Linked DNA regions of Caenorhabditis elegans. Changing the gene in region 1 together with any one later gene gives a genetic interaction. Each region holds a gene or a part of one and is shown in the gene's direction. Other genes may lie near its edges. The genes, in order: lgg-1 and rer-1.

The links.
Region 2: of lgg-1 (region 1) and rer-1, changing one suppresses a phenotype caused by changing the other (phenotypic suppression), as found in Caenorhabditis elegans (one study listed by BioGRID).

What each region holds. Positions count from the first base shown.
Region 1 is NC_003280.10:6,340,277-6,356,717, reverse strand, and holds lgg-1 (Protein lgg-1), read left to right. Parts: upstream 1-8,998; 5' UTR 8,999-9,031; coding exon 9,032-9,319; intron 9,320-9,371; coding exon 9,372-9,455; 3' UTR 9,456-9,758; downstream 9,759-16,441. Other genes in the region: C32D5.12 (3-beta hydroxysteroid dehydrogenase/isomerase domain-containing protein), read left to right, coding at 1-195; C32D5.11 (RING-type domain-containing protein), read left to right, coding at 1,279-1,376, 1,420-1,581, 1,629-1,766, 1,810-1,852, 1,899-1,996, 2,042-2,225, 2,272-2,406, 2,449-3,222 and 3 more; putative RING finger protein C32D5.10, read left to right, coding at 4,768-4,907, 4,952-5,233, 5,285-5,606, 5,657-5,788, 5,831-5,996, 6,042-6,146, 6,219-6,256, 6,361-6,427 and 3 more; txt-18 (transcellular chaperone signaling (x)cross tissue), read right to left, coding at 11,361-11,635, 11,684-11,790, 11,834-11,987, 12,103-12,334, 12,396-12,410; C32D5.8 (protein-disulfide reductase), read left to right, coding at 10,807-10,879, 13,013-13,298, 13,344-13,488. UniProt on the Caenorhabditis elegans protein: Ubiquitin-like modifier involved in the formation of autophagosomal vacuoles (autophagosomes). When lipidated mediates tethering between adjacent membranes and stimulates membrane fusion during autophagy. Recruits lipidated-lgg-2 to maturing autophagosomes.
Region 2 is NC_003280.10:8,803,982-8,820,722, forward strand, and holds rer-1 (Protein RER1 homolog), read left to right. Parts: upstream 1-7,388; 5' UTR 7,389-7,393; coding exon 7,394-7,456; intron 7,457-7,509; coding exon 7,510-7,614; intron 7,615-7,724; coding exon 7,725-7,820; intron 7,821-7,865; coding exon 7,866-7,951; intron 7,952-8,006; coding exon 8,007-8,142; intron 8,143-8,190; coding exon 8,191-8,280; 3' UTR 8,281-8,652; downstream 8,653-16,741. Other genes in the region: appg-2 (Activated in Blocked Unfolded protein response), read left to right, coding at 1-268, 312-437, 510-797; pho-13 (intestinal acid PHOsphatase), read right to left, coding at 919-1,143, 1,190-1,330, 1,428-1,603, 1,647-1,950, 2,330-2,617, 2,668-2,772, 2,820-2,921; F07H5.10 (Decapping nuclease), read right to left, coding at 3,345-3,422, 3,477-3,608, 3,658-4,009, 4,057-4,190, 4,242-4,337, 4,389-4,601; F46C5.9 (WD_REPEATS_REGION domain-containing protein), read right to left, coding at 4,811-5,043, 5,241-5,383, 5,572-5,711, 5,759-5,988, 6,036-6,162, 6,208-6,565, 6,616-6,740; F46C5.10 (Neuropeptide-Like Protein), read right to left, coding at 13,790-13,834, 13,890-14,152, 14,313-14,355; F46C5.1 (DUF5380 domain-containing protein), read right to left, coding at 16,520-16,558. UniProt on the Caenorhabditis elegans protein: May be involved in protein transport along the secretory pathway.

The sequences.
Region 1 (16,441 bases):
ATCCCAGAAAACATTCTAAATCACGTTGCATTCCGTTTGTTCTTTGAGAAAACTGTTGGATTTCCTAATAAGAAACTGCGCCTGTTATTGAATTCTAAACCGGAAATCTCACAAGAAGAGGCATTCAAATTGTACGCGAACTCCAAAGCTTCGTATTCGAAGGAGGCAGTAAAGAGACCAACTGTGCAAGGATAATTCCAATTAATCCTAATAAACTTGAAGTTCAATCTGTTGAATCAGTTTCATTGTGCTTTATTAAAAATAATACTTTGCAAGTTATCAAATAAAAATTGTTGAAGTTTTGTCGTGTCGAGACCCAGTACCGTATTTGGCGTGTCAAAAATCGCGAAATTTCGCCTATGGGGATACGATAATCTAAATTTTAAATTCAAAATAGATGTATGATATAGGAAAATATTCCATCAATGTCTTTATTTTATTTATTTTGTTTGTATTTATAAATAATATATTTATTTCGAATGCTCGTCTGTTTCATGATATTGTCCTCGTGTTGTTCACGGCCGAAGTTTTTCACAATTGTCAATAGAGCGTTTTTGAAAACTCGTCCGCAACGATTTGAAACAAAATTTGTACAAAACTTTGTTGTACAAAATTCTGTACAGAATTTTGGCTCATTGTTTTCAATATTAACAAATCTTTGTTTTATTCTGCTTCTTTCTTTCTTCGGGGCTTACCAATTTATTAATTTAACTTTTGATTAATGAATAATCATTGTTTTTATTTCACACAAGTCTTCGAATATTTTGCTAATTTTAAAATATGAGAAATTTAATGGCAAAAAAGTTATGTTCATCGCTGACTGCGATCGGACCTGCGAGAAACCTGCTGACGCATTTCTCGATGCCAACGCCTCGCTTCTTCCCTCGCTCTCTCGTTTTTCTCTAGTTTCTGGGAATTCGTTCATGTGGTTTGATATATCGACTTTTTTGGCTTTAATTTCAACAATGTCAATACGAATTTATCAATCTGCAAGTGATATTTCATACCACGGAAGCATGCTATCGTATCTTTTCTGAAATTAATAGCCAAATCTCGAAACACGTTAATATTATCGTTCTAGAAGTGAAATCCGACGACATTTTTATTTTTTAAGCGATAGCTTGCTATGATTCATCATTTAAGTCATAGTGGAAAATCGATATCAGTATTTTCGGGTCGTCCTTGCCTCATTTCTGAAAAGAAAGTCATACTGCTCATTATTGATTTTTCTACTATAATGAGTGATAATAATAAAAGAAAAATTCTTTCAGAAAAACTATGGGGGACAGTGGTGTGGAACCTGTCATACCATCTCCATCAACAAGTTCAAACAACCCGGTTGAAGAATTGCAGTGCACAATCTGTTTATCTACGAGGTTGGATATAAATTCAAACAAACAACTAATTGTTAAAATTAAGATTCTCTCAAGAATGTCGCATCGAAGGATGCAATCACTCGTTTTGTTTTTCCTGCATTTCTGAATGGGTCTGCCAATCTCTACGCCCTTCATGCCCAATGTGTCGCAAGGATGTCGATAAAGTGTCGTATGATTTTTCAGAGCAAAAACTAGGACAAAAAGAGTTAGAACTTTTATTTTATTTATATTTACGATAATTTTCTGTTTCAGGATTGCAATCAAAGAATATCGAAGCGGGCATATGTCACTTACGCCTACAGATCGAGTTCAACTTCTCAGCGAAAGGAGACTAGTTGTCAGAAATTTAATGCATTCCTACAAGGTTGTAGGCTTGTTATCATCAGAAATGTGAGTTTGCTTGGCTTTTCCAACAAAACGTTCTATATTTCAGAAGCGGTATCGAAGAATCGAAGGAACCAGATGAAATCTTGAAGGTAAAAATTAGCACGCTATATAAACAGACTAAATATTTATTTCCAGAATGCATTGATTGAGTTAGCCGCTATCGTAACACAGCATATTCAAAAGGCAGAGATATCACTATCGGATCTTAGGACGGAGCAGGCTCGAATCAACAAGTATCAGTTTAATTGAATGAATATATTACCAAAAAAAGATTTCAGGTCAATTGTTTTCAATACGGTTACGTTTCGTCGAATGGTTTACACAAGCAAAGTCAAAGTAATGTATCCTGATTTGAAGAAAGTTAAAATCAAGCCATCTGATATTGCCAGAGAACCGGATCGTTTTAGAAATGTTATCACGAATTTTTTGATAGCTGAGTTCGACGCTATACCTTTCCAAAATGTAAGAAAATTTATTGAACTTTCTTGAAATTTTTAGAATTTTTCAGCAACCAAAACTTGCCGGCCACAAATGGAGAACAAAGTTTCTAGGTTCCTGCATCGATATGCAGCAAAAACAGCGCTATGCCGCTCAAATTTACGAGCTTATGCTGAGTCGTCCATCGGGTGATCATTTATTCCGGGTACGTCTACAGGAAATTTAATTTAAAACTGCTAGTTTTCAGAGAGAACTCAATGAAATTCTAACGCCTGTTAGTGCAGTTCATATTCAATTTTTGGACGATCATTTGGATGCAATTATTGCAATTGAAAAGTTAACAATCGAAGAATTCTACAACGAAGTTTACTATGATTCTATATACAATAGTTTCTCGAGTAACTTCTTTGATTATAACTCTATGGGACGTGATGATCCTCAAAGCCGATTCGAAGCACTCTTCAATCAAATTCATCGTGATATCGGAAGTACAAATGATTGGATGGATACTTATGTGGCAGGACGTCTTCTTCGTCAATCTTCAAATACTGATGGAACGGACCGTGCCACGAATAACGATGATGATAGTGATCGTTCTGAGTCGCCAGAAGAAAGAGTTCCAACGCCAATGCCTGACGAAGATCCACGTGAACAATCGTTGGCACGAGCATACTACGAACAAATGCTGGAAATGCCAAATCGGGTACCGCTGTCAATGAGAGCCTACCACATGATGCGTGATCGAGATGTTCGTGTTCGATATCCAACTACAGAAGAACCGGTTCCAGTTGAGCCTGTAACATTTGGACAAACTACTAGAACTTTACCTATTTCACAGCAACCGACAACTTCTCGCAGTCATATGACGCTGAGATCTGCAATGAGACGTTTAGATTCCGATCGTCCGACAGACGAAGAGATTCCGCCGATTGAGAGTCGGCCCCAGACACGCCGCGAAATCGAAAGAGATCGACTTCTACAAAGAGTTCGGGAATTTGATAATCGATCACGAGGGCTTTCGGTGAGTATTATTGAGAATTTATAAAGAAGTGAATGTATTTAATTTAATAGTAAGTAAAACTTGAAGATTTTCTATATTTCAGAGTCTCTTCCGTCACCCTGCATCGTCGGATTATACAAGTCGACGATTCACTTCTGATGGTTATTCTGGATTGGTTGGTTTAAAAAATATATAAACATAAAATATCATCAAAATTGTTTCAGGTTATGCTCTCGCCACGGTTAAATTCAACCACTACATCATCTACGAGTATACCTGTTTATCAGCCGCGAACTATGACGAGTAATGATTTCGCGCATTTAAACCGAACCAGAAGCATTTTGGAGAGAAGACATTTCCCACAGCCACCACGGGAGCAAAGAATCGAAGAAGTGGAACAACTTTTCAACAGAGCTTACCAAAATATGCAGCAAACTCATCAAGCAATTCAAGAACATGCTAGCACAAGCAATGCACCGACACAAATTCCTCGTCCAGCAACTCCAGCACCCGCTATATCTGACGAAGAATCTCGATCACTTGCGGAAATTGTTGCAACCATAAATCAGGAGGATGCTGATAATGGACTTGACTTTATTTCGGTTGCTCATCGAACAAGATCCGCAAGAAGAGGTAAATTTCTAACTTTAAATTGTTTTTTACCGAAATTTGATTTTTCAGCAGCCGAAAACGGGCATCCACCCGAGGGACCACCAGCCAAAAGATCAACAAACTCTCGTCGTGATAGACGTTAATATCCAAGAAATACGCTCATTTAAAAAAATAATCTTGTTCGAGTTTCTTAAACATTATATCTGTATGGATAAATGTACACTCGCTTCTTAAACAACCCGTTTCCTTCACTGTTTAGTTGTACCTTGTGACATGTACATTCAAATGTTACTCAACCCCCGTTTTTTTTCATTCTATGTGTTCTGCTTTTTTCAAAAACTTTATTAAAATATTTAATGAAATGTTAAAATAATATTTTGAGCGAATCAGTTTGTGAAAACTGTTTTATAGACAGGTTTTTGGTATTTTCTGTGTGTTTTTTTATTATTTATGTTTTATTGAGAAAGATGTTTTGTTTGAGAGCAACGAATCTAATAATAACAAAACTTACTATAAGCTAGAAAATTCCAAAAGATGCACCCAACTATTTTTTTTTCCAATTTTTCATAATAATCTATTTGTGAGTGTTTTCTCTGTATCCGGTTTCTGTTCTTTCCATTTTTTAAGGGAAATTTCCTTATAAAAATTCAAATATCTCAAAACTATGCTTGTGCGCTCCAATGAGATCTATTTGATTGCTTCCATCTTTATCAACATTTTAGGCTTTTTTATTTTACTTCGACTACCTTCTTTCTTTGATATTAATTTTAATTTATTAATTTAATTTTTAAAAGAGAAACTGAAATTTCAAACCAGAATATGGGAAAAATTAGTTAGAGTTTTCAAACTTGAAAATTTTGCGCAAACTGAAAAATATTTGTGAGAAACTAAAAAATTTCCGATAGTTTATTTTTTAGAGGAATATTTCAAATCTCAAAAGAATTGAAAAGCTCAATGGATTCTCCGAGCACAAGTGAATCACCACTGAAAAAGAATACAATTCAGGATTTTGGAGAAAGTAACATGACAGAAAGTCCCCAGTCTAAAGAAGAAATCGACGAACCGGAAGAGGAGTGTTCGGTATGCAAAAATGAGTAAGTTCATTCAATAGTATTAATTAAAAATTGATTTATTTCAGAATTATCGATACAACCTCGTTGAGTGATTGTTGCCATGAATTTTGCTACGATTGCATTGTAGGCTGGCTCACGAAGGGATCCGGTCCTTTCTGTCCAATGTGCAAAACACCAGTTAGCTTCATCCAACGGAAAGGAACCGATGAGAAAATAACCGTCCAGCAAATAAAATCCGAAGGAGAGCCAGCAGCGACTGCTTCAGAAGATCTTGTGACTGAGAAGAGAATTGTGTCGAGAAAAATTCGAAGTTGTCGAAGGCTAATGAACCAAATTGACGAGATCATGTAAGAGTTTTCGATGAGTAATATACAAATTGTATTTGAACATTCTTTTAGTGGAGCAACATCAAGTAGATCTGATAGTCAAAAAAGGAAGCCACGATTAGAAGAGTTGAACTCGATGAAACAACTGTGTGTCTCACAATTGAACTCCCTGCAAATGCTCCGAGACGACATTGATCATGGAGCAGCAAAAGCATTAATTGTCTCAAAAGCCGCATTCCGAAGATTGATCTATGAGCGTCAAGTTATATCAGAAGGATTGCCAGATGCAACTAATTCTCTGTCGAAAACTGAATTCCGTGATAATATCGATCACTATCGAGCAGTTTTACACAGTTTCTTGAGCGTCGAGTTGAAATCCCTTCCGGCGAAGACGGTAACGTTTCCCATTAAAACATAAAAGTGTTCTAATGAAAAGTATTTCAGCAACCACGTGTCGACAATGAAAATAGCTGGTATTTTTATACACTTCATGATGTGGCCGAGGGAAAAGACGAAGAGATTATCAATAGAATATTCAGTATGATTGAAGATCGTGGAACGCGTGATCTTAATGCGGTAGTTCAAAAACAAATTTACCATAAGTTTGAAATGTTTCAGAGAGAAGTTGATGCAGCATTGAATGGGCTTGTATCATGTCGGGTTGTAATTGCATTTATTGCTGAGCTGAAGTCTTTGATTAACAGTCGAAAGTCATTTTTGGAGTGGTGCGGTGCCATAACATATCGAATCAGAACAGATCGCGGAGGTGAAAGTGCTGGAAATGGTAGAATCATATTTGTACTTAATTTCAAAAAATCGTATCTTCCAGATGTTGTGACGGTCGACGATTCAATTGAGCTTGAACCCGAAGAAAATAGATCAAACCACAGGTCGCGCCGATTCCCGGTTTTTACACCATTCGACCGAGTTTTTGGTATTTAATTTTTTATCATAATATGCTTTTAAAATATTATTTTAATTTAAAACTTCAAAATAAAATTTTCAGGATCTACCATGGGACACATGTATCGAGGACAACCGCAAGTGAGTTTGCCGCCCCTTTATGACCTGTTGAGTGTAAGTTTACATTGTAGCATTATCCTGCCTCATCATCTGACACCGACCAGGACGATGACATCTACTTTCAGGCTCCTCTTCGTCTTGGCCCTAATGCTACGAATCCGTTCAGGCCAGCTCCGCTCCCGGTGCCGTCACGTAAGATTTTTCAGATCGGCTCTTCAAAAAGTTAAATTTTTACAGAATTACCAATCGCTGGTATTCCATGGGCAGAATTAACGACATCTTCAGCAGGTGCTGGTTCTGCTCGAAGTCGTGGATCCGACAGTGTAGTAGAAATTGACGATGATGATGATAATGATGGTGTCGATGTGGATGATGATGACAGAGAAGACAGTGATGAGCCAAGAACGTATTCAAATAGTGAGGAAGATAGCGATGAAGAGATTCAAGTTGTTGAACGTGATGATACTATTATTCTTGATGATTCGAATCGATCACTTCCTAAACCTGTAGCAAATGGTAGTGCCGACAGGAAGAGAAAGTACGAATTTCCATTAGAAGATCATTGGAAAAAGGCCAAAACCAGCCAGTTACCTGAGGGGCTTGTTGACGATGTTCAGGAATTGATCGCGAAGTACAATATGCCGTTAACACAATCAATGAATATGCTTGTCGGCGCAGCACAAGAAGCCATTATCAGGATTAACAAACCAATGCCAAGCACTTCAAGGTGGGTTTGAAAAGATTTTATCGTGGATATGTAATATTCCAATTTCAGTGCTCCAGACATTTCGAAGTTCAAACCTGATGATATGTTACAGCTAGCAAGTTGTAAGTTTGTCATATTGCAGATCAAGTCTCATAACTAATTTTTACAGATCTCTCTCGAACTGGTGCACTTTCAAGGCGACAGTAAATCGACATTTGATCTCTGTTAAATCAATTAAAAAGGCGGATATCGACGAGTTTTCAAACTTTTTCCTAGGCATATCATAATTTTTTACAACTTTTTTACTTTTATTTTTTCTGACATTTCGATGTTTCGTAGTAGCAAGTTTCCAAATGTTCCATCCTGGGCTACAAGCGAACTTATTCGGCAATTTTTAGATTTTCGTTGTTTACGGTTCAAAGAAAAAAGCGTTTTTCATATTTTTATTGTTTCTCCATGTTAGCTATCATTTTTTATTTATTTATATTTATAGCTTTATTCTGATTATTGTACTTCTGTCCGTGTAAAACATTTCGTCACTATTGACTGTCTATAAATTTTTAACCTTTGGTTTATTGTTTGGTTATTTTTTTAATATTTTTTCTCGGTTTGCTTCCGGCAAATTTTTATCTTGTTCCTTTTTATATTTTTGCCTTTCTGATCGATTACATGGAGTGCACCCTAATGTCTTTAAGATCTTTTAATTGATTTGTTTTATATTGTCAGTTCTAGCGTTTTACCAGCTGGTCTTGAATGCCCTCTTCTAGTTCATTACATTCTACGTCACGGTGACAGCTGTGAATGTGGATGATGCTCTCATTGCTCCAACTCTTTATTTTAGAATTATGTCGCTAATGCACTTTCCACCTACATATTATTGTATGGATATAGTAGTTATATATCGTTTATTTCGTTTAGTTTTAGCATATTATGTTCCTTTAATAGCAAAACATACTCAATACCAACTGTTGTCTAGTTGTTATTCTAACCTTTTATCACTTTTGATCATTTCTAACGTTTAAAATTTCCTATCAAAAGAATCTAAGAACAAACAATCTGTCGATCGGCACCTGAAACCCCGATGATTCTACACCATGCTGCTCTACTTCTCTCAAACCATCCAATGTTTCCCTATACTCTCTTGCTCTCCTCTGCCTGCTGTCTCGTTTCGCCGCCGTATGACACAGTCACATGATGTTGAGTCGTGGTGTCTCGTCGTCTCCGCCCCTCTCTCATCTCTCTCTCTTTCTAGCTAGTGCCATTCGTCTTGGTGTGTTCAGTCTTGCCTCTCGCTCTTCTTTGCGACTTTCTGCCATTTCTTTCACTTTCTGGCGACGTCGGTAGCGACAGTACTTTTTTATTTAAAAGTTTGTAATTTTAGTTGGTTTGTTTAAAAAACCGGTTTCAAATCAAAATCTTTTTTAGATTTGAAATTTGAAATTAAGAAATGTTTCACAAGTTTGACTATTAAATGTACGGTTTAACAATTCTATCTAAAAATATTGCTAAATCATACCAAAATTATTTATTGAACGGTCATATTAATCTAGTTAATAGTTGATTACTAAAGTCTTTCAGAATTCAATTTTTTGGAACAATGCGCTAAGAATATTCGTAGAAACTGGTTATGGATACTAGTGAATATTGGATAAATGTTACTAATATATCGATCGACTTTCAGTCTTCCCAGAATTACAGTTTCCCCGACAACCTCTAAACAGCTGCATTGTACTTGTCCTGTTTCTCTGCATCTCAACAAAACCAGGCCAGACAAACATAGAAAATCAATAGGATGTCTCCTGCGTCTACGCGCTCTCATATGACCGATGTGCGCGCACACTCCCTCTCTCACTTGCACACGGGCCATTCTTGCTCATGCTCTTTTTGCCTTACTAGTACTCGTCGTCAATTTTATATAGATTTCGCAATGTGTTATCGAATCGGTCAATCTCTCAAAACCCATGTGATGTCACCTTCATTCACTCTCACTTGTTACACCTTTCTTCTCTCATGGTTCTTTTATGATTTTTCTGTGATTTAAAGTATTTTTATTCCAGTAACCTTCTCTTCACACTAACCTTCGAATCAAAATGAAGTGGGCTTACAAGGAGGAGAACAACTTTGAGAAGCGTCGTGCCGAAGGAGACAAGATCCGCAGAAAGTACCCAGACCGTATTCCAGTGATTGTTGAGAAAGCACCAAAGTCAAAGCTCCATGACTTGGATAAGAAGAAGTACTTGGTCCCATCCGATCTTACTGTTGGACAGTTCTACTTCCTCATCAGAAAACGCATCCAACTTCGTCCAGAAGATGCTCTGTTCTTCTTTGTCAACAATGTCATTCCACAAACCATGACCACAATGGGACAACTCTACCAGGTAACTAACCAGTCGTTTATTTTCATTTAATTAACCCTTTTCTTTATTACAGGACCATCACGAGGAAGACTTGTTCCTTTACATCGCCTACAGTGACGAAAGTGTGTATGGAGGAGAGGTCGAAAAGAAGGAATAAAGTGTCATGTATTATCCGCCGACGAATGTGTATACTTGTACAATGGAAATTTCATACTTCTAATGGAAACCCAAAGCCCCTTTAAAAAAATCTTCTCATTTTCTGTAATAATTCTGTATTTCCTTCACATTTTCTTCTCATTTTTCTCGTATGACGGTTCCGAGTAGTGACTTCTATTCAAACTATTGTCTACGAAGTTGCTCTTCTCCCCTCCCAGAAAATCATGTTTTCTCTCGGATTTTGATATTTTTTTGCTATTACTTTCAAATTTTTGATTCATGAATAAACGAAGAAGACACAAACAAATTCATGTTCATGCTCATCGTTATTTTCGGCCAGCGAATGGAATACCTCCAACAGTTAGCAATACACATTGCGAAATCACTTTTTCATCTGTATAGAATTGACGTCACATTTGTATTACGTAAACATCATTGTAGATTTCTGAACAAAGTATAGAGAAAAATGAGAATTTTATTTCGAAAATGGTGACACACTTTTGGCAAAAAGGCTCTTTGTATCCATTAGTCATCTGTCAAATGACAGTTTATTCTAGTTGTCATCGTCTGAAAATGTCATAAGAGGGCTCAAACGTTGACTTAGGAATCATTTTTGATTCGATTCTGGCATATTTTATCATTTTCGAGACACAATTTTGGTACTACCCATTTGCAGAAGTTTGAGATTTTCAATGCGAAAATACGGTAGCCGGTCTCGGCACGATGGAAACTTTTCAGCTACCGCACCCAAAAGTGTTTCGCAATTTTCACCTGTATCTGTTGTAATAGTTTCACTTAAAATTCCACATTTTTAAAGGAAAAACCGATACATTTTTGGAAAATTGTAGGAGATCATGAAAAATTAAAAACAAATACTTGCGGATACGGTATTTAAATAGTTTTGGCCGTTTCGAGACCGAGTACTGTAGGCTAACTCTAAAAAAATCTGCAAAATTTTCAAGATGTATAATTAAATACATATTTTTGAGATTAAAAAAAGAGTCTCGTTTCTCTACATCTTACTATTGTAAATCTACGAGTCGCCGCTGCTTCCCAGTCAAATCGATTCTATAATTACACCTTCTCCTTTTCCCTTTTTCCTCTATCCATTTTCTCGTTGTTTTCCCTTCGTTGCTATTAGAAACTGGCATGGCTTTATTCATAAAGTGGTGTTTATACTCTTTTTTTTTCTATTTTTCTGCCTTTTTGAATTCATCACGTGTATGTTCTGCCATCTCTTCTTCTTCTTATTTTTTTCAATTTGATCGCAAAATTCGATCGAAAACGTGACCTTTACCTTTTGAACGGTGTATTCGTTATCTCATCGGTTTCCCCATCATTACTTGACTGTGATGGGGAACACGGCGAATTCGAATTCGAAACAACCAGCAACGAGTGCCGCGCAGATGTCGGTCGACCCAAAAGGTAGTGAAACACTGAAAAATTTGGCAAGTTTCTCAGCAGGTGACCTGATAAACACGAAAGTTGTTTCGTTGCGATCGGGTATTATACGTTTACTTTTTGATTAGTTGTACATGGTTGGTTGGTTAACATGGTTGGTTAACCAACCACCACGTCATCTTATTTTTTAGATATCAATTCCATAGTGTACGATGAAAGTCAGTCGAAAGTATAAGCCCAGTTTAGCATTCAAGTAAATTTTTCAATAACTAAGATACCGTTTTTATATGCTCACTAATGTTTCTTATATAGATCACACAATCAGAAGATATTCGGAGCATTTCGTAGTAACCTGTTCATTCCATGAAAAAAGTATTTGCGATCAAAAATTCAGTGGTTTCATATAGGAGAGACCATGATCATGAATAAACAAACAAGAGTGTCTCGCTTTCTAGTCATAGACTATCACTTCCAATCTATACTCTTTTTTATCATTCCTTTCAATTTATTTACTTTCTTCTTTCAACCTAGACTTTTCTTCTTCGATAAACTGGAATAATCGAACTTTGTGAAGCATCAACTTGTCGTTTGGCACATCTTCTAAAAAGTTTGTTACATAGGCTATGATGTCTGCGTGTTTTTCAGAAGTTGGTAGATTTGCTGTTGAGTTAGGTGTTTTTGCAGAGCAGGTTGAAGGAGCCGAAGAATTCAATTGTATACTTGTACAACTTGTAGATTGCTGACATGTAACCGTATCTATAACTTTTTGAAGCCAGTCATCTGAAAAATTACTTGTAATTTACATACACTTTAAATCACAGTTCAGACCATTCAACTTGTCTTCTGATAGCTCATGCTCAATCTTTGGCTTTTTTGCTTTTACTTGTTGATCATCGGCTTCTGCATTGCAAGTCGTTAATGTCAATTTTGACAAGCTGGAAAAAGGTTTCCGTTTCGGAAATCTAGATCATTTCATACCTGTCTGTTTTTTCCAAATAAGGAATAAGGAATTGTAGACAATCGTAGAACGGAACTATAGACTTGGACTTCTCATCATTCTTATCACCACCATTTCTAATCATTTTTTCAAAATCATTGAATAGGTATAACCATAACTTTTCGGCGTTTCTACCTGTAAGTTGATGTGGTGTTCATAAACATGTTTATTCCTGTTCACATGTTTACAGTCCAAATCAAAAACAGTCTTTCTCTTTTCGTAAATCACATTTTCAAAACTAAAAACTAACCTTTCCTCATTGCAAGAAAATGTCCACATTTTTTCTCTATAATATAAAACGCTTTCTGTCGAAAATCACTATTCTTCTTGCACGGACTGTATAATTCTTCTCTTCCAGAAAACAATGATATGAAAAAGTCGATGTCAGATCTTCTATACGCGTCATAATGTGAGAAAGGAGGGATCTTTGATGGTCGACCCATTTTTCGTTTCTGCTCCGCTGAGCCAAACTCTAGTAAATCCTAAATTTTTTTGATTTGGAAAACCACGTGAAAAACGTAGATCCTAGCTTTTCAGACTTACTATGAACTTCTCCATATTTTCAAAGCGGTAGAGACCAAATATTAGAAATAAAAGTGGAGAAACTTATGAAAATCGGGATCGCCAGATGTTATTAGAAAGTGAAGAAATGCTAAGAAAATATATGAAAGTGCGCAAAATTTGAGACGCAGATTTTAGAGCGTCGAGAAAAAGACTCGTTTCGAGCGACCCAGTTCAAAATCTCCAATTATTGTAAACTATTTCCTCCCTTCTCCAACATCTCTCTCAGTTTTGTCAGAGTGTTGTGTGTTGACAACACCAACAACTCCCCCCGTTTTTCGTTTTGATTCTTTCTTTTCATCACGAATTCAATTTACTGTAGATTGTCATACAATTCATTCCAATAATGAAATGGAAAACTAGTTCAAAATATTCAAAACCAACATCACTAAAAGTGAAAGATATTTGTTGATCTTAAAACAACACATGTTCCTCATACATTTCATCATAGAGATATTGACTCATCCTCCGCATCATCCTCATTTTCCTTAGTTTTTGTTCCGAAAGTTTCATATAAAAACCCTAGGACTAAACTCTCCTTGTCCCATTCTATCAATTTCTCAACTCTTATATTGATTCTCCAATATATATATTTTCAGGAAAGAACATGTCTCTTTTGGCTGGAGTGAAACTTGAAAAACGCGACAAAACGTTGGTCGACGCAACTGAAGCTCTAGCTGGAAAGGCCGTCGGATTCTACTTCTCGGCTCATTGGTGCCCACCGTGCCGCGGCTTCACACCAATTCTCAAGGATTTCTATGAGGAGGTTGAAGATGAGTTCGAGGTCGTCTTCGTCTCTTTCGATCGTAGCGAGAGTGATCTGAAAATGTATATGAGCGAGCACGGTGATTGGTACCATATCCCATATGGAAATGATGCCATCAAGTAAGTTATAACTCTATAAAATCCTCTTTAACTAGTTTTTTCCAGGGAACTTTCCACCAAGTACGGAGTTTCCGGAATCCCAGCTCTCATCATCGTCAAGCCAGACGGTACTGAAGTAACAAAGGATGGACGTAACGATGTGCAAAATGGAAAGGATCCAAAGGCCACCGTCGCCAAGTGGAAGGCTTAAGCCGAATCTGCCGACATAATTCTCTGCAATGCATCTTTCTCGATTTGTTCAACCATTTTGAAGCCATTCCCATCTAAACATCCATTTGCAATACCCATCTCTCCTATGATCCTAAAATATTTCTCTTTTGTATGGAAATTGGCAGTAAACAATAATAAATATATTTATTGATTCCATGCGATTCTTCATTTGTTTTTCAGTATATCAATTACGAATTGTTCTCTTCAAAAGTCAGTGTAAACAAAGGGAATGATGTGTGAACGTTTAATTGGTCAGTTGGAAAGATTTTAACTTGTCCATCATAGCTGACGTACAAGAAAACAATTGTTCTTTCTACGAAGGTTTTAAGATATTTAACAGCTCAAAAAATAATTATGACTACTAGAGATCTATAGATACTTGAACATAGTAAGCAAACACTCTTTGAAACCACAACATAATTCTGAAAATACCCTTTTTCAGACCACAAGAGTACATCACACCTTATCCGGTCTTTGTTGCCTTGACAACATCTTCAATCTCTTCTTTTTATTCACTATTTCCCTTTTGGATTTTGCTGCTCCATTCTTCTCCATTTGCGTCACAACACCACCTGCCTCTCGTTTCCGCCCATCTGACAATGTTTCTATTTCTCTTTCATTCACATTCCAAAGCTTCTAACGATTTTTTTCGTCTTTTCAGCTTATTACTTTTCCAAAAAAAATTAATAAAATGACGATAGCAGCTGCACACATTCAATCACCTTGTCTTCTTCGGTGCGCGGTGACTCGAAGAGTAGTCAGACCCCGCCCACTTTTCAGTCCCGTCTCGTCGTTCTCAACCTCTTTTTTCTTATTCATCAATCTTCTCGTTTTCTTCCCACTTCAAATCACACAAACACAGGCACAAAATATTCTAACTTGACTGATATTAGCTGTAGACATAAATCTATATAATAGAGAAGAGACGAGAAAAAGGAAAAGATGAACGAAGAAATTGAAATGAGCAGTATGGTAGGTTCTGGAATAATTGAAATAAAAACAATTATATTTGATAATTGAACTATCACGTTTTTTAATCAATCAACTACATTATTTATTGCCAACATTTGGTAGTAATAGAGCTTCTACGACAACACCCAAAATAGGAAAGGGAAAGTAGACTTGTTTTTCATTAAAATTGATTGATGAAGAAAGAGGATCAATATCGGATTTGATTCTATTTATATTTAAGTATCATGGTTCGTCAGAATATTTGTTTAGATACTATGTGATAATTCCAAAGTCGATTGAGCATTTGGAACAACAATGGCCTACCGTAGTCTCCCTATTACAGATGCACCCTCCTTCTACTTTGACAGTGTATATCTTGGTTGTCTTCAGTTTTATCAAAAAATTATCAACTGACAAAATGTGTGCAAAATAATTCTCTATGTTTAGGTGTTAAACATTTTTTGTTGAAAATCAAGACCACCAAGACACAAGTCATCAAAGTAAAGTAGTTCAAGTCTAATAGGGAAAGAACGATAACTTGGATGAGTTAGATGGAGCACATCTTGAACTGAACAACAACATAAATTTTTAAAAGATAATTTGGTAAATTTTTGATGGCAATGACTGTTCATTGAATACATTAAAAATTTAATACCTTTTAAAAACACAATTATATTTCTTCATTTATATGACAAAAATTCAAAGCCACCCTTTTTAAACTAACTTTTGAAATATTTTAAATACAAACCAATTCGTTGTTGAAATTACCAAGCACATTCGTGCATTCTGTAAAGTTCTGATTAATTTCTTCAATATTTTCGATTATTTTTATTCCTGAGCTCTGACTCATTCCATCATCATATGTTTCATCCTTATCGTAGTTCAGACAGTCAGGAGACCCCAAACGTTCCTCCCACTGTCTGTCACTATGTCATTTTGTTCCTCTGACCCAAATCACATCTTCAAGGAAGTATTTCTCTTCATGTCTATGCCTAATTTCTCTCGTTCCTTTTTCCTTGAAGAAGGGCCTCCCGGACAGTTCATACAAACATCAAACTGCGGGTCGCGGTCATGCATAACTGGTGAGAGAGTGTTGGATTCATAGAGTATCAGGCACACCCACATAACATCTTTCACTTTTACCAAACAAAAAATTTGTGGACAAGTGCTCATTTTTGCTCTTTTCCAATTCTATTTTGTTGTGTTCAGTACTGTTTATCTTTAGCGTCTCTCTTACTTTCATGCATTCTCGAGTTTTCTTTCATTTTGACTGTATTTGAGTTTCCACTTTTATTTATTTTTCTGTTTTCCATTTTCCATTTTCTTTTTTTCCATTTTCCCATTATTCATTTCTTTCCTTTTCACTATTCAAAATGTTCGTCATTCAAATGTACGGCTACCGTACTCTAACACCAATTCCCTAGCTTATCGGTGATTAAGTTTTGAATCAGATGTATTTCATTTCCAAACTTCCATTTAAGCTGTTCTATGTTTACACAAGTAATGAGTCATTTATGGGAATTGAGAACTTTTTGTTTTCACAGCCACATTAGTTCAATATATTGATGTTGATCATATTTTTGAAGCTTTATGGTTTGTGTTTCTTTTCACTAGGCATTTTGAAATTATCACATGAAAAGCTCTTTCATCTAGAAGTTTCTATTGAATTTTTCTTCATATCGAAACATTTTCTTTGTTTAACTTATATACTTTTTATTGAATTTTTAAAACTTTTGGTATATTCATATGATTATTATAAGTTTTTTGCAAAATACCTAAAATTTTCCGATTAGTCATGCATTCATTAGTCAGTCATTGCTCCACTCAAATTTTTTTAATGTCAAAAAAGTTTCTAACGAAATGAGCTGTGAAAGTAGAGCAAGAATGGTGCAAGAAATATAAGTTGCGAATTTCTGAACCACGAAATGGTGTTTTAGTAAAACTCAATAAATACCAGAAATCTCTGAAACTACTAATACTGA
Region 2 (16,741 bases), 2.5 Mb from region 1:
AGCCCCATCATGCGCTCCACAATGCCAACCAGCTTGTGATCCACAATGCATAAGCTTCACTCTTAAACTTCCAGTAATGACCACTCCACCCCCGACGCCATCTTGCCAGCCACAATGTCAACCAGCTTGCCAACCATCTTGTATGGAGACATACACATTCACGATCCCAATGAATGATCAGAGCTCCAAGCAGTGTGCTCCAGCTTGTCAACCTGTCTGTGATTCAAAGTGTATTCAAAATTATCAATTTGAAATTGTAATTCCACAGGTCAGAAAATTTAGAACTTTCTGCAAAAACTGAAGATTTTTAGGCTGACAACAACTGTATGCCAGCTTGCACCCAATCTTGCCAAACTTCATGTGTTCAACAGAACAGCCAAAGTGTTCCACAATGCAGCACAGCTTGTACTGACAGTTGTAGATCATCTTGCGTTGAAGTACTGTAACTGAAATATCAGCTGATAGAGTTCTGCTTGGCAAATTGTTAAAATATCGTTGTTTTTTTTCAGATCGTGAAGGAATCTGCAGAACCAACTTTCAAATTGGAAATTGTTCTTAAAAAACCAATGGAAGAAACTGTGACATGTGCTCCACAATGTGCTAATCAGTGCGTTGATCAATGTAAAACTCAACTTCTGACCCAAATTGAATTCTGTCTGCCAGCTTGCCAGAACGCCTGTCAACAGAACTGCCCGTTGCAAGTCGAACCATGTGCAATGAGTGGTTCACAATGCAATTGTTCAACTGGATTCTCACTTTGTGGAAATAACCAATGCTGCAGAAAGAGAAGACGATAGATCCATTCAAAAGGAAACAACCTACCTACGCACATTATTGCCATAATTTTAATTTTAAAGCGAAAAAAGTGTATTTTATTTATCATACATCAATAAATATTTATGAATATCATATAGTGTTCTAGAATAAAATATATTTTGAAATGAAAGTGAATATAATCAAAAATAAAAGTGAAGAAGAGTTCGAGGATCCGGTAACGAGACACCATTGATCAATAGGTTGATCTGGTTTTAAATTGTTTGCAATTTGATTCAACACATTCATTGAACAGTAATCTCCTCCACATCCAGTAATCTCCTTCGTCATCACAGTAAAGTCATCTCCAGATTGTTTGTGGTAAACCAGCTTCAAAACTTAGATATTACAATATTGCTTTACCGAACAAACCTACCTTAAAATAGTCAGCGTTATCAGTAGTATTTCTCCAATATTCAACCGATACGGCAGCGGAATAAAGTGGATATCCGTGAGGTTTAATAGCAAATCGTTCGATGCCAAGAGCTACTAGCACTGCGTATACGGTCTCATCGTGCTGAAAAAAAATGTTTAATGTAATAATTCAATTGTGAATAACATGTACAACTAAAAAATTTCCAGAAGCTTCTTAAGGTTACTACCAAAAAACCCACAGCTGAATAAACGAAGTACTTGAGTCCATTTATCCAATCACACCCTTGTGTATTTTTTCCATATGTACAATCACTTTTCTTATTAATTCTATCCATCATATCATTCATAAGAGGTCCGGATCGTACTTTCAGAAGCTCAAGGCCAATATTCATGTTGTTCATATTAATAGTACTATCTGAAAAATTATTACATACAATGTTCTTAGAAAAACAACGTACTGAATACTCCGTATTGATACATATAAATTTGATCATTTACTGCCACAATTTGACTATAAAAATCATCATTGAACCATGTATTCTCTTTTCGAAGTGATTCATTAAAATATATTTGTTCAATGAATAAGGCATCCGGGACAGTCCAGAAATCTTCTAGACTCCATGTTTGATTAACCAGTGACGTTAGTTTGTCGATTACTGATGAAACTGGTACTGAGCTTCTCCAGTTCTTCATTTCGTCCGATTGTTGAGCAATATTCCAGAGCCATTCACGACGTGGGCAGATGCAGTCCATATTTCCAATCTAAAACAACTGCTTCTGATTAAATATAGTTTTAAAGTTTCCGATCTAGTCTAAATAGTACAATAGTCTAATATGTCGAAATTTCATAATAAGACACACCAATTCAAAGTTTTGGTAAATTGCCAAATTTTCCAACAGTACGGATTTTTTGAGTAATTCCGAGCATTGTTGTAGGTTAGATTCCCTAGAAAGTTTGAATACAAATAATTGAAACGCAATTAAAAAATAAAACTTTTAGAAATGTGTTTTATTCACTTCCAAAATTAAGATAGCCTGACTACGATATTTGGGCATTATTGCGTGGAGCGATGTAAAATACTTTCTATACTTCACCTTTATTCTCCAATTTTTTATTGATTCAAATAGCCCAAAATCTCACATGATCACTGTCATAATCAACGGTATGAACTGGAATAGGAACGAAGCCACGTGGCCATCCCTGAGCATCTGGAAAATCAGTTCCAGCCGAGCTACCGTAGCCGTCTTGTCCATACATTCCGAGCATATTTGAAGTGGCTGAGATCAAAGTTCGATTGATTCCCGTAGATCGTATGTACATTGTTTTTTGATCATAGACTGCTGGTAAGAAGTTGTGGGTGGAGTTTCCTGTGTTGACATAACGATTGCGAAGCTTCTTTCCAAGAGTTAAATGTTGATTCATTCCGAGCTGAAAGGTATCCAAAACAACTATATTAACTCCATATGAACAATCATTACCGGTGAAAGCTGTCCCCATCCTCCACCTCCAAATGTCCAACTATCCTCTTGGAATGGATCCACGTTAAATGTAGTCGTAGGTGATCTATCTCCATGCCTCCAAACCTTTTCAAAAATCGTAACACTAGATTCCAAAACATTATAAAACCTACGATATGAACCATTTTCAACTCCATAACTCCATCTTTCGCAGGTGAAATATTTGTTGCGATTGCCAGATTCCATGCTATTATTATTATTATAAATTGTAGCATGTCACAAAGAAATGGGGTAATGAGTGTAGATATTAATACGAATACGGGGAGAAATTAAAACTAAACTAATTTTCAGATTCAGAGCAAAGCGTGAGCGTAGATCAAACATTGGTTCATACACATTTTCTTATCAACTGTTTCAAATAATCGGCTGAAATTTGAAAAATGTCATGGAAGCGTCTTTATCAAGTAGAATTTCCAGGAGCATTTTAAAATTAATTAGAACAGGAGAGAGAGAGATCATTCATTAGAAATACTCGTAACAAGTAAATTTAGTATAAACACAGGAAGGGATCACATGTGATATCACCCGAACATTAATAAATAAAGTTTTTAGAATTAGTTAGATCGAATGAAATTTTGGGAATCCCGATATGATGATGCACGTGTGTAATAAATGCTGTAGCGTTGTTCATTGCCAGGTCACCAGAATGGACTTCTTTTCAGGCTTTCTCTTGTTGTCAATGTCACACTGATCGGAGTGGAGCCATCTGATTTTACCTATAATTAAAAATTATAAAACTTCATAATTAAATGAAAATTATTTTAAATTACCATGCACATATCGCCTTCAGCACCGATTATTTTGTCTATTGTACTGAAAATTTTGAAAATTTCAGAGAAAAGCTTGGCACCGTCAAAACGGAAGTGTCCTTTGGTGAAGTCGGTGAGTTGAGCTTCGTGGATCTGTTGTAAAATTGTGTTTTTTTAAAAAGAATGTACTGAAATGTGTTACCTCATTAACTTTCATATTATCCATTCTCAGACCGTAAACAATGCGGTCAGCTCCACTCAACAAAGCTCGAAGCCACCAGTCTCTAGCTTTCAATCTTGAAAGGTTCTGAACTTTTCCCATAACTTTCGAGCCAACTGTCTTCAATTCAACAACGTTTCCTCGTTGATCAAAAGCACGGGCGACACTTGAAACGAAAATTGACATTGACATTGAATTTCTCGTGTTCTCAATTCGCAATTGCTTGACGACACTGTGATGCTTTTTGAGTATTTTTTGATCGGATTCTCTCGTAACCTTCATGGCGAAATTCAAACCACCGAATGCCGCCTCTTGGGTCTTCTTGTCAGTTTGCCTAAAACGAGTACAATCGTTTAGTAAATTTTAAAATCGTTATATTACAAATCCATAGATTTATTAGCGCCAATGTAAATGTCTCCATTCAAACGAATTGCCATCAATTCCATTGGTTTTTGCTTTTGCATCACATCATCAATTGCACAAAGGACATAGCGACAACAGAGAAATCTCGTTTTCTGCAAAATAAAAATGAGTTTTTTTTTTCTTTTACATAAATATCCAATTACGAGTTCGGTGAATCGGCTCACTCGTGGACGTGGAATACGATCGAGAAATCTTGTTTTAGATTCAAACTCATAGAGATGGTAGATCGAATGTTGGTTCTGAATATGAATTATTGAAGAATTGCCGTGTTAAACTATGGAATGTCTTACAATAACACTTTTCGACTTAGGATCGTATCCCTCCAGAACATTTATATTGACATTTCTCTGGTTAATCATGTTCTCGATAAGCATCGGACGTGTGCTACATGCAGGTGCCACTGAATCATTGCAGGAAGTGTATTCTATATTGAGATTGATCACAGGTTTCGCTCTAACTCCCGTTGGGGGTCTGTTATCGTACGGTCGAGGAGGAAGACTCATCTATTTAGAAAGGAGTAATTTCCTAAATAAATGTTTCAAACATAACAAAATATAATTTTCACGGGATTTATAACAGAGAACGTGGGAAAAGCCATTAGATAAAGTTTACGTACACGTATTTATAAAATCAAATGATGCGAAGAAATAAATAAATAAACATAACACCGCTTTAGGAGGGAATTATTGGCACTTTACACGAATAAAATAAATTATTTTTCGAATTGCTTCAGAAGTTCCTGAGCCTCATCAATCTGCTCTTTGATACGGCGACGAGCACCTTCCTGTGTGATTTCTGGAAGCTCTCGGTTCAGTTTAACCACTCTGCTGTGCCACTCTGGAACATTCCGAATGACACGGACATATTTGTCTCCACATGTTGCAATATATTTTCCGTCAGAGGAATAGGCAATCGATGAAATTGTAGTCGAGCAGATGTCTTTCACTGAAAATTTGTAATGTGGTTTCAGTTTTCAAGAATCGTGGATTATTTACAATTAAACTGTTCTAAAATTAAACTAATTTTCGAAAATGAGCAAATTGACAATGTTCAGAAAGTTCAACAGAAAAAAAATCCGATATTTTAGAAAAAAGTTTTAAATAAATGTTTGATATTGAAAAATCCAATCAATTTTGTCTTACATTCCGGATAGTCCTTGGTTTCGTCTTCCGAAGCGAACACCTTCAAATCTGTCTTGAACGAAACTGCAAATGAGTCACCACTTGGGCTCATTTCTAATCGCACGTGTTCACTTGTGGCGGCATGCAGAGGAGCCCAGCTTCCCCTGAAAAATTGTTACTTTCTAGTGTGAATTCAATAAGACGCAGTGCTTAACAGAACACAATTTTATCATCAACTCGCCTCTCTTTCGCTATAGACGTCTACTCACTTTCGTTGCCTAGCAATCACCTATTCTATTTTCTCATTTTATCCCGCTATATAATTTCGGTTTCTCGCTTTTCTTTAACTCACTCTCTCAAAATTTTGGAATCTTGCCCAGCCTCATAGCGAATATCGGTGTCGAAAATGCGCCATTTTCCGTCTCTGGAGACTGTGACCGCACGAGTCGATGAGTTGTTGAAAGCAGCAGCAAGTACTCCAGATTGGTGACCCTAAAAATAATTCAGATGAAATTTTGGAAATCATGAATGTAGCTTACACTGAGACTGAACACTTTCTTGGCACTCTGGAATGTTCCATCTCTTGTAAAAATTGGCTCGAAAACAAATACATCTGGTGTGAATCCTGATACAATGATAAAACGACCATCAGGAGAGAGACGACAGTCATATAGACTGCTCACTTTAGCATCAATTGACTGTAGAAGTTGTCCGCGTAGATCGTAAAGACAAATTTTGTTATCGAGTGCTGCACTCATCAGGTATTTCGCTGAAAATTAAAAATAAATTGCCAAACAATTTTCGCAGTTAACTTACCGTTTCCGGCAATGCCAATATTTTGAATATCAACCTGATGAACTCTTTCAAATTCTAAATTGTCAATATGCACAAAATGATGGGATCCTGATCCTTCGGTTTTCTTAACGAGCTTGTAGACGCAAATCTGAAAAATTATGAATGTGTTGATCAAAATTCAATCATTGTATACCTTGTTTTCTCTTTTCACACTAAATACAACACTCTTACAATCCGGAGCAAATACTACACGAGTTGGAGTGTCATATTCAACCGTTTGTCTGATACATTTGTGTTCCTTGTTCTCAAAGTCTCTAACATCCCAGAGAATAACCGAACGATCTCCGGAAATTGATACAAACTTTTTGCCATCTGAAGCAAATGCAACATCTGTCACTTCTTTTTTATGTCCTTTCAATACTGATACGTTCCATGGATGAACGAATGTTGGTTCCTTTGCTTTCCATTGATCATTCGTTCGTTGGTGCTTATTCTTCTTCACTGGTTCCTCGCTAATAATCGTCTCTGTCACTTCATCCATTACAACGTCACTGAAATGTTTCATTAAAAAAACGTTCAATTCATTATTTTAATGACTTACACTTCTTCCTGTTCTCCTTGTTGCTCCTTCTTTGCTACGTAGATTATTGCTACTCCCATCACAGTGACAAAGCCAACTAATCCCCCGATCAGAATTGGTAGACTGACACTATCGATGTCAATCATGGTTTAATCTGAAAATATTGGAACATTACTAATATTGTATCATGAAAGAACCGAAAAGTAAGAATAATTCTCGCGATTCGAAAAGGAAGATTACGGTAGCCAACCAGCTTGCAATTTTTTAAATGCCTTAAATAAGTTTTTTTTCAAATATCAATGGTAACTATAGTGGTATATAAGGTACTCTTCTATCATTTTCCAAATGTAATCACGATAGAATATAAATAGAAATAGAAATACATTAGGATATCCCTATAGCAGTTTGAACACTTTCGATAACAAAAACTTCGCAAAACTGAATCAATCTTGTGAAATTCCCATTAATGCTCAAAACAATTCAAAGAAATAAATTTAGGTAGTTTCAGAATATTTTGCTATATAAAATATTTTCATTTTTTGATGAAAAAATAGCAAAAAATAACAGAAAACTTGAAAATTGAATTTATTCATCCTTAAAAGTTTTGAAGAGACAGTGTGCATTCTGCCGTCACCGTGTTTGCGTATATTTCTACGTGTACTTCTTTTTTAATCGAAATCAATATTTCCCAACTTTTCACGTATTTTCATCACGTCTATGAAGTTTTTATTCTCAATTAATTCTTGATTAATTTAAAAATTAATTTTTCAATTGTTCATTATCAATTTCATCAGGTAATATGGACGACGGACTTCGGGACAGGCCAGGTGTAACATCTCGTTTCTTTCACAGTTTGGAAGTGGTGAGTTAATTTTAATCAGAATGCAAATTGTGACTTTATTGATTATGTTGCAGAAGTATCAATACTATCTCGATCGTCTCACGCCACATACTGCATTCCGATGGGTTATCGCTCTGATCTCGCTCGTCTTCTTTGCGTCTAGAATTATTCTCTTGCAAGTAAGTGAGCACAAATAGAAAATATGTTAAAATTTTTCAAAAAAAAAAGTTCATCACCAACGAGTTATTTTTTTTTTCTTCAAGTCACGTTATAATTAATTTGATTTCAGGGATTCTACATTGTTGCATATGCTGTCGGTATCTACTATTTGAATCTCTTCTTGCTCTTTTTAACTCCATCAATTGATCCAGCTTTAGAGTTCGAGGTTTGTTATTTTATTTTGTTATGAAGTAAACATTATTTTCTGCAGGATGAAGATGATGGTCCAGTTCTTCCATCGAAAACAAACGACGAATTCCGCCCATTCATGCGTCGTCTGCCAGAGTTTAAGTTTTGGTTAGTCTTTATTATCTTGAAACGGAGAAAGTCATTCAAAATATTATTTTTCTAGGCACTCCTTCATGAAGGCCACTCTGATCGCAATCACTTGCACCTTCTTCGAATTCTTCGATGTTCCAGTATTCTGGCCAATTCTTGTCATGTATTTCTTCATCCTTACCTTCCTCACTCTCAAGAGACAGATTATGGTATGTTTTTTAAACTCGTCATTCTTTTCAAAATAATATGTATTCCAGCATATGATCAAATATCGATACATTCCATTCACAGTGGGAAAGCCACGAATGGCTGGAAAGGAAGACACCGGCAAAGTTGTCGTCGGTTGAAACGGGTCACTCTTAATCTGTCGTTCTTAGTCTTGTTTTAAAGTTTTTCGTAAAATATTAAAACAGTTTCATAATTCTAATTGTTATTTTGAAAGAATTATAGAAACACATATGACTTATTTATTCAAAAGCCAATGTTTTGAAACATCTCAAAGTAACGAGTCCCCGTATTAAATTATTTGCTTTCCTCCTGTTTTCCCTTTTGATTTTTTAATAGTTTATTGCTCTTTCACACAACGTTTCCTTCCAAAATCAGCTTTGTCTTTGCTCCAATAATAAAAAAACGACCTGCTTGATTTGTTGCGCGTCTTCTTACCAAATGTGATTTTATTCGTGTTTTATGTTTGATGAAATGAATTCTCAAGATGATAATGTTGGGATGAGTTTGTGGAAACAATACTAAGATTTGATAATTGCAACATTCAATTCTGAAAAAAATCGGAAAGAAGTAGCTTTTACTTTTTAGAGCTTTTACATTTTCAAAAATCGCTGAGAATGTAATTTAATTGTCGGTGCACTCGAATTGCTCACAGAGACTTCAGATAAATGATTTCGTGAAGATTTTGACAGATTTAAATGTTTTTATTTTTCTTTATTTCTTCTTCAAAACTAATTGAATTTTTCACACAGAAACTAAACAAATGAACAATTACGTGGCTGAACAAATAAGCAATTCGAAGCTTGCAAACGATTTAGTACAGATTGAAGATCGATCATGGTTAATTGTTCAAACGACCGATAACAGAAACGTATATAAAAACATTATTGCTTTAAACATATTTTAAACGGATAATTAATCTTATGAAAAGTATACTGATACTATCAAATGTTCATAATAAGTTCTGATCATTTCATAGTGAATAAATTTCTGGAAATTAAAAAAAAACGATATAATCTCAAAAATCATACTACCACAGTATCACTACAGTAACCCAACAGTATCCCTCCACTAACTCCACCTCAGTATCCCATCAAGAGAAAACAACTGAAATATACTAGAACTACTTAAGAACAAACTACAATTGTGACCTAACTTTATAAACTTCATTCCTAACACCAAATAAATATATTCGTCAAATTTTGCATCTGTAGGACCACTATAACATGTATTTTGTTTGAAAAATGCTTTTATTCCAAATAACCGAATGTCATGATAAACACTACAAAAAGTTTTAGATTTCTAAAAAATGTTCAGCAAAGTTTTGGAAAAGTGCCAAATGTACTATAAGAATATTTTAAATGCAAGTTCCCTACTGGTGTCACTCCATTTTGAATATTTTTTTATTTTTTATGAAGTTATCAACTGAGATAATTTTACCGCTTTTTCAGAGTAAACACAATGTCTTATTGGAAAAAACTTATTCCATAATCTTACGAGAGAGCAAGACAGTAGATCATTCATGTGTCTAGAAAAAACGGGAAGCGAATTTCCACTATGAAGGTTTTATACAGATACTGTATCTTCACATTCGTCATTCAATCGTTCTCTGCATCTAGCCCCTCCTCTTTTTGAGAATCACAAGATTGTGGCTTCTATGACGCTGTATCGTGCTAAATTGTTCAATGGAACATGATGGACGAAGGATGAGACGGTCCATTCAGTTCATTCGATCTCTTGAAACCTTGTGATATGTCGCTGCTGATCGTATTTTGACGAAGAATTCGGTGTCTTGCGACTGTTGTAAATCAGTTTTTTCCAATGAGCGTTCTTTGTTTGAAGACTAGATATATAAGTGAAGAAGGAAGTTGTGTACCAAGAATGTACTACAGATGCACCCAAATTCTTGATTTTCAGTAATTTAAAGTTGAACACGAATAAAAGTCAATTATTTAAAAATTATTTTAATATGGACAACTCAAAATAAATTTTCATCGACTACCGAAAATTTGAATTTACAAGAAAAATCCGGAAGCTTCTGGAAAAAATTTGAGAAAAGGGCTGAAATGGGGTTGAAGCTGTTGTGTTAACAATTATAGAACTCACAAAACAAAGTTGCTACATATACGGTTTCAGACTAGATTATATAAGTTTTAAACAGCGCCACATGTATTGTTACGACTTCTGTATTATAACTTTTTTATCTCGTCTTTAACTACAAAATATCTTACAGCAAGCACTTTCGTTGTAGCCTACCACAAAAATGACGAATTTTAGTTTAGTTTGTAGTTTTAAAAAAAAGAAGAGATATCATTGAACAATTGATGAGTCTATTCTGAAGACAACATCAAACACGAATGCAATATAATTGATATAATGATCTCTAGATTTCAAAAAAAAAATCGATTGTATGAAACTTTAAGCAGGTCCCACATTGAGCATTTCTTTTAAAGTATATGGAAATGAACTGTTGTGACATATACTTTGCAAATGCAATACTCGTTTTTCTCCAATTTCAAATCAAACTTCTAATTAGTAGAATAAGATCGTTTAGATTTGGCAGAACTTGATAAAAATTGTAATGTATTCATCCTTGCAAATTGCAAACCAAAACTTCCTAAACTCTCTAAAATGGGTATCTTCAAACTGTTATTTCCTTAAAAAATACATTTCTAGAAAACAAATTTTAAAGTAACAAAATGCTCACAAATATTTTTTCTTTATTCTGCAACAATTTGAATTGCAAATTACCAATTGTTTGTTGAGTTACACAGAGTCAAACCCTTTTACCAAAAATCATTAAAAAAAACCTCATTAAATCAAATAACTGCCTAAAATCTCTGTAAATTGTGTATCTTCAAACTAGCGTATCTCGAAAAATACGCGTCTAGAAAGCAAATTTTTAGCAAACCAAATGATCAGAAATATCTTTTCTTCCTTTTGCAATATTTTTCATTGTAATATACTAGTTATTTGCTGAGTTACACAGAGTCAAAGCCATTTTACCGAAAATCATAAAAATTTTTGAGAACTCTTCTGTTGTACCAGTCATAACTCAACATCCATTGAAATTCAGAAAACAAATTTTGTTGAATAGTAAATAAAAAATATTTTGCTACACTATCAGTTTAACGTTTTTTGATATTTTTATGTTCAGCTAAGCTACAGACCGTTTTCTGAAAAAATCCAATTTTGCCCATAAAACTCTTCATATCCAACGTATCGACTTGAAATTTTGAAAAATGATCACTTTTTTGAGGTTTCTACAATGTCCTAAAAAATCTTTCAAAAATCCTGCTAATCTCCAAAATCGTCCTCCGCTCCAAAAAACGAAATCGGACTTTTGCCTTTCGGAAAATGACCAAAAAATGAAATTGGGATATTCGGGTCGAAAAATATATTTTTAGAAAGCTGAGAACACGTTATTTACGAATATCATATTCATTTTTGATTTGTTTCGCCTTTGAAAAGACTTGAAATTAAATCATGAAGCTAATTTTGATGCTCACGTGACATTTATTCTTTTTTATTCTTTTTATTTTATTTTATTCTTTTATTCTTTGCTTAAGGTTCATGCTTTAAATTCAGGTCTTTTCAAAGGCGAAATTATCAAAAATGAATATGATATTCGTAAATAACGTGTTCTCAGCTTTCTAAAAATATATTTTTCGACCCAAATATCCCAATTTCATTTTTTCGTCATTTTCCGAAAGTCAAAAGTCCGATTTCGTTTTTTGGAGCGGAGGACGATTTTGGAGATTAGCAGGATTTTTTGAAAGATTTTTTAGGACATTGTAGAGACTTCAAAAAAGTGATCATTTTTCAAAATTTCAAGTCGATACGTTCGATATGAAGAGTTTTATGGACGAAATTGGATTTTTTCAGAAAACGGTCTGTAACTTTGCTGAACATAAAAACATCAAAAAACGTTAAACTGATAAAATGTAGCAAAATATTTTTTACTCATTATTCAACAAAATTTTTCTTTTGAAATGCAATAGATGTTGAGTTATGACTAATACAACAGAAGAGTTCTCAAAATTGTTTATTATTTTCGGTAAAATGGCTTTGACTCTGTGTAACTCAGCAAATGATAAGTATTTTGCAATGAAAAATATTGCAAAAGGAAGAAAAGATATTCCTGATCATTTGGTTTGCTAAAAATTAATGATTTTTGGTAAAAGAGTTTGACTCTGTGTCTTACTTCTTTCCCTATACTTTCTTTTTTTTTAGTTTTCACTGACAAAAATGAAAACCAGTATGCAATAAGCAGAATGTAGGAGAGAATCAGCTGGAAAAATACAAGCAGTCCATGGAAATACTCATTGACTCCAAGATTATTGACTACCCTCAAAGAGCAAGGAGTCAATGAGTATTTACCCTCTTGAGACATACCTCAGTTGTATTTTGTGTAATTTTATTTTAAACTCTCCAAAATATTATTATTTACAACTTAATTCATATGTTCATGTAAACATGAATTCATTCACATGTTCGGTAATACTCAGCTACACGTGCAATTTCTTTTGTTCATTCATTTGTTCCTCTTTTCGATGTTGATCACTGTCATTCTATCATCCTGAAAGGCGTCTACCATATGCACCCAGGATGTACCGAGTGTGTATTTAATTACAGACCAATCAAGTTTCTGACTGAAATTATGAACCATAAAGGCATCACTTTGATTTGTAAGGTTGTTTATATGAACATTCAGCCTGAAACTGGAAAAGTGAATTAGTGTTTGGTGTTATTTTTGTGATCTGTGATGATCTGGGAATACGCGGAAGAAAAATCGCTAGTAGTTAAAAAATTTAAAGATTTTTTGATTCCTAAACACACTGCTTATATTGTGAAATTTGAGTGCAAACAAGTCAGATATAGTCTTGGTAAATTGGTATCTCAAGGTTCAAGCATTTCACGATATCTAGTATTATTTTTTTCAAAATTACCAGCTTTTTGAAAAATAGATAAATAACGTTAGGAGCTGGTAAAGTTTAGTAGAGGGCATACGCTATCTAAAAATAAATCGGATCAAATTGTGCAACCGAACATTAAGAAAGGTTTTTGAGATATATGTTTTAACTTTTGTTCAAATTTTGCAAAAATACCAATTCTGAGCCACAAAATACATTTTGCATAATTAGCAACGTATAATATCAACTATCAAAACTTTATTCGTGAGATGGTAACTATTTGGTATTTGCCACAAGATATATAGGCGTTTAAAGCCGAGTGACAATCGATCAGATGAAATTAGTTTTATTATCAAAAATGTTCAGTTGAAAACATTAACTGAACTACTTCGTAGATAAATTGATAGTTTACCGCAGATTCCGTTTTATTTTCATTTTATAGCCTTTTTTAATGACACACTGGTCAGTGTTTCTTATTGATTTCTCTTTTATCTCGTTTATTTTTTATCATTTCCAACAACACAGATCAAGTAAAAAGATACAAGAAGGAATTCTTCATTTCGTCAGTTTTATGCAATCAATATTTTGTTAGCATTTGTCAGATATTTGGGGTTTCTTTTCATTTGTTTTTTTCGTCATTGACCCGTTTTCAAGTATTAAAAAACAAGATGATCATGTACATAATTATTAGAAAAAGTGGCATTTTCAGTAGGAAAAATTAAAGTCGAAGTCCAGGTCGGGTTTTCATTTGGGAGCCGAGCAACTGAAAAATGGAAAAGTTTGTCTTGAAATTTAAAAGAACGTTGAGTTGAACTTACATCAGAGATTCGGATTCTTCTGAATTGACGGAAAACAATATGTCCAGCTCCGTCACTCAAAAAGTTTACAGATTTATCAGATTTGAAAGTCTCGTATTCGGCGATCGATGGAATTGGAGCATCAACTCCAGATGGAGCACCTTTACTGATAAAATCGATAAGACGGGAGTTTTTGACGCTCTCTTGCTTTTTAATCAATTTCTTGTAAAGAACATCCAAACCAGATGATGAATTGGAATCGATTTCAGGTGCGGCAAGGATGACTGGAAATTTTAAATTTAATTAAATAGAACATAGACAGTATTGAATATACTGTCAGAATTTTTAGAGCAGCTTCGATTTGAAAATAAAATGTATAAAATGTACTATTGGTTAAAATAATATAAAACTTCAGACAAAGTTCAAAAAGTGTTCTAGACTTACATGGAATAACGAAAATAACCACGAGAGTGAAGAATCGCAGCATTCTATTGTTTTCAGAAGAATCGGACTGATAGAAGATGGTGTAAAACTTTGCGAAGTCGTGACTTCGTCGACCGCTATTTATCTGATTCAGATGCCTTGATGATAGATCAGAGGAACATCAGACACGCCGACACGTGCGGTGGTTAGAGAGCATTGTGATAAGAGAAGTGGTGATGGATCGGCAAACTGTGATCTTCTATCAACCAATGACGCTAATTCCTAATAGCAGGCTGAAGTTGGAGGTGTTAGACGTGCGTCAACTTTCATCGATGCACCGGAAGTTTTAACAATAAAAACGATCGGTGAAGTTATTTTAGGCATCCAGTTTTAGAGGACAAAGAGGTGGAGTTTTTGGAGAATTTGTGGAACGACTACACATTTGCAGGCTGAAACTTTTTTTTAGGAATCTAAATTTAGGCCAATGTCTGAATATATTTCTAAAAATAGATTTTTGTATCAACAAGAACTTCAAAGTTGAATTGAAAGCAGAAGTCAAAGCAAAAATTTATGCAAATATTTACATTCAAGTAGTGATGTTCGTTGGCTTGTTCTTTAGCATCATAGGCAGGCATGTCTGTATGCCTGAGCCTACCTACCGATGTTTGCGCAGTATAGTTTTTGGCATCTTATGAAGGTAGTTAACAGTAAGCATGCGTAGGTGCAAGGCAGGCAGGCATTGTAATGGTTACATGAAAAGCTTAGTCTGTGGTACCATAAGTTAATCACGTGAAGGTAGTCCTATTTTCATTTCGAGATCATATGATTTCTCGAAAAAAGAATCAATTTCCCCAATAAGTTCCACGTACCATAATCGTTTTGATTGTTTTCAACTAGATGTTTTGACAATGAACACCTGTGTCATAACATTCACTAAACTTACACATTTTACAATATATTTAGAAATGTCAAATTATCAATTTAGGAATATCATTTCACAAAAAACTTTTATAAAGCTTGAAAAAGTTGAGCAAGAAGCCCACCCAAACAGATAAACTGCTATCAAACTGATTTTCTGAATTTCACGTGTGAAAGTAGTCTAGAATCCAAAAATGAGAAATGCATCACTGATCGTCAAGATGATGGTAGACGTGCTACTTCACATTAATTTGTTCTCTGGAGGCCACGCCTTCCTCTACTTGAGCGTACTCTGATCTGACACAAAGTATATAAGGACGGAGGAAAATGGTAGACGACCACCAAGCTGCAAGACATTTATTCTATGAATTTATGTTCTAGATACTCTGAAATTATTATTCTATTGAATCTCATTATCATTGAACACTTTTTGTTTTAACTTTAAAGGTTACATTATTTTTATATGTCATTTATCAAAATTCCACAAACTTCCTTATCTCCTTTTGTTCTATTTTAAACGGTGTTCTTTAAAAATCACGAGGCATGATTGATGACTTCTAAAAATCATTTTTCATTTTATTTCAATGGATTTTTTTATAAATAGAACTTGGGTATATTTCGGCAAACTAATGAAGACTTTCAAAGAAGATATACGATTCTTTTGTTACAGTCGGAGAAATTGATCACACAAAGTTCAGTGACATCATTGAAGGGACCTTAGGTTTTCCTGATTCCACAACTTAAGAAAGATTTTATCTTCTTTTATAGGGTCTAGGGATGTAGACTATCACATGAGCTTTGTTTGAAAGCATTTGTTCAGAATGTAGAACTAGAATTTTTTAAAAAGCATTCGTTTTGATATTTTGTTAAAAGAGTTTCAGAATTTATAGGTAGTTTTCATGATAAAATTCAAAGAAAATTGAGCTCGTGGTTGCTTTGCTCTTGAATAAACTAATTTTGGATTTAATTTACCATTTTATTCTTGATCGAAATATACATACAAAAAAAGGAAGTCGGAATGTACACAGAAACATTTCATGTAAGGAACACAATGAGAGTTTTTTCGTCGTGGGTGGACCCGTGTCGAATGATATGTCGGTAGATGATGAAGATGATATGTCATAAGAAAGTGTCGTCTGATATGGCGAATTGATATGTCCAGTGGAGAGGGGAAAATGAGTGTACAGAAACTGTCAAATGAGACAGGGTTGGGGAAAAAGAATGAAATTATTACAGGATAATAAGGAAACTAAATGATAAAACTGAGGGGATGGTCGAATGATCTAGATCAATGGGATCGAATGGTCAAATTAGACTCCTCCAGCACGGCGGTTGACATTGTGGAGAATCTGAAAATTGAGAAATTAAAAAATTTTCAGAAATTTCAGATTAGGCTGAAGTTCTGATAGTGAGATCAACTAGATCATTTGAAAAAACCAAGAATCATCTACGGAGGTGTTAACAATCATCTCGACCAGTGAACAAATTGAAAAGTGATAACAGTGATATATCACTTGCGCGTTCAACATGCC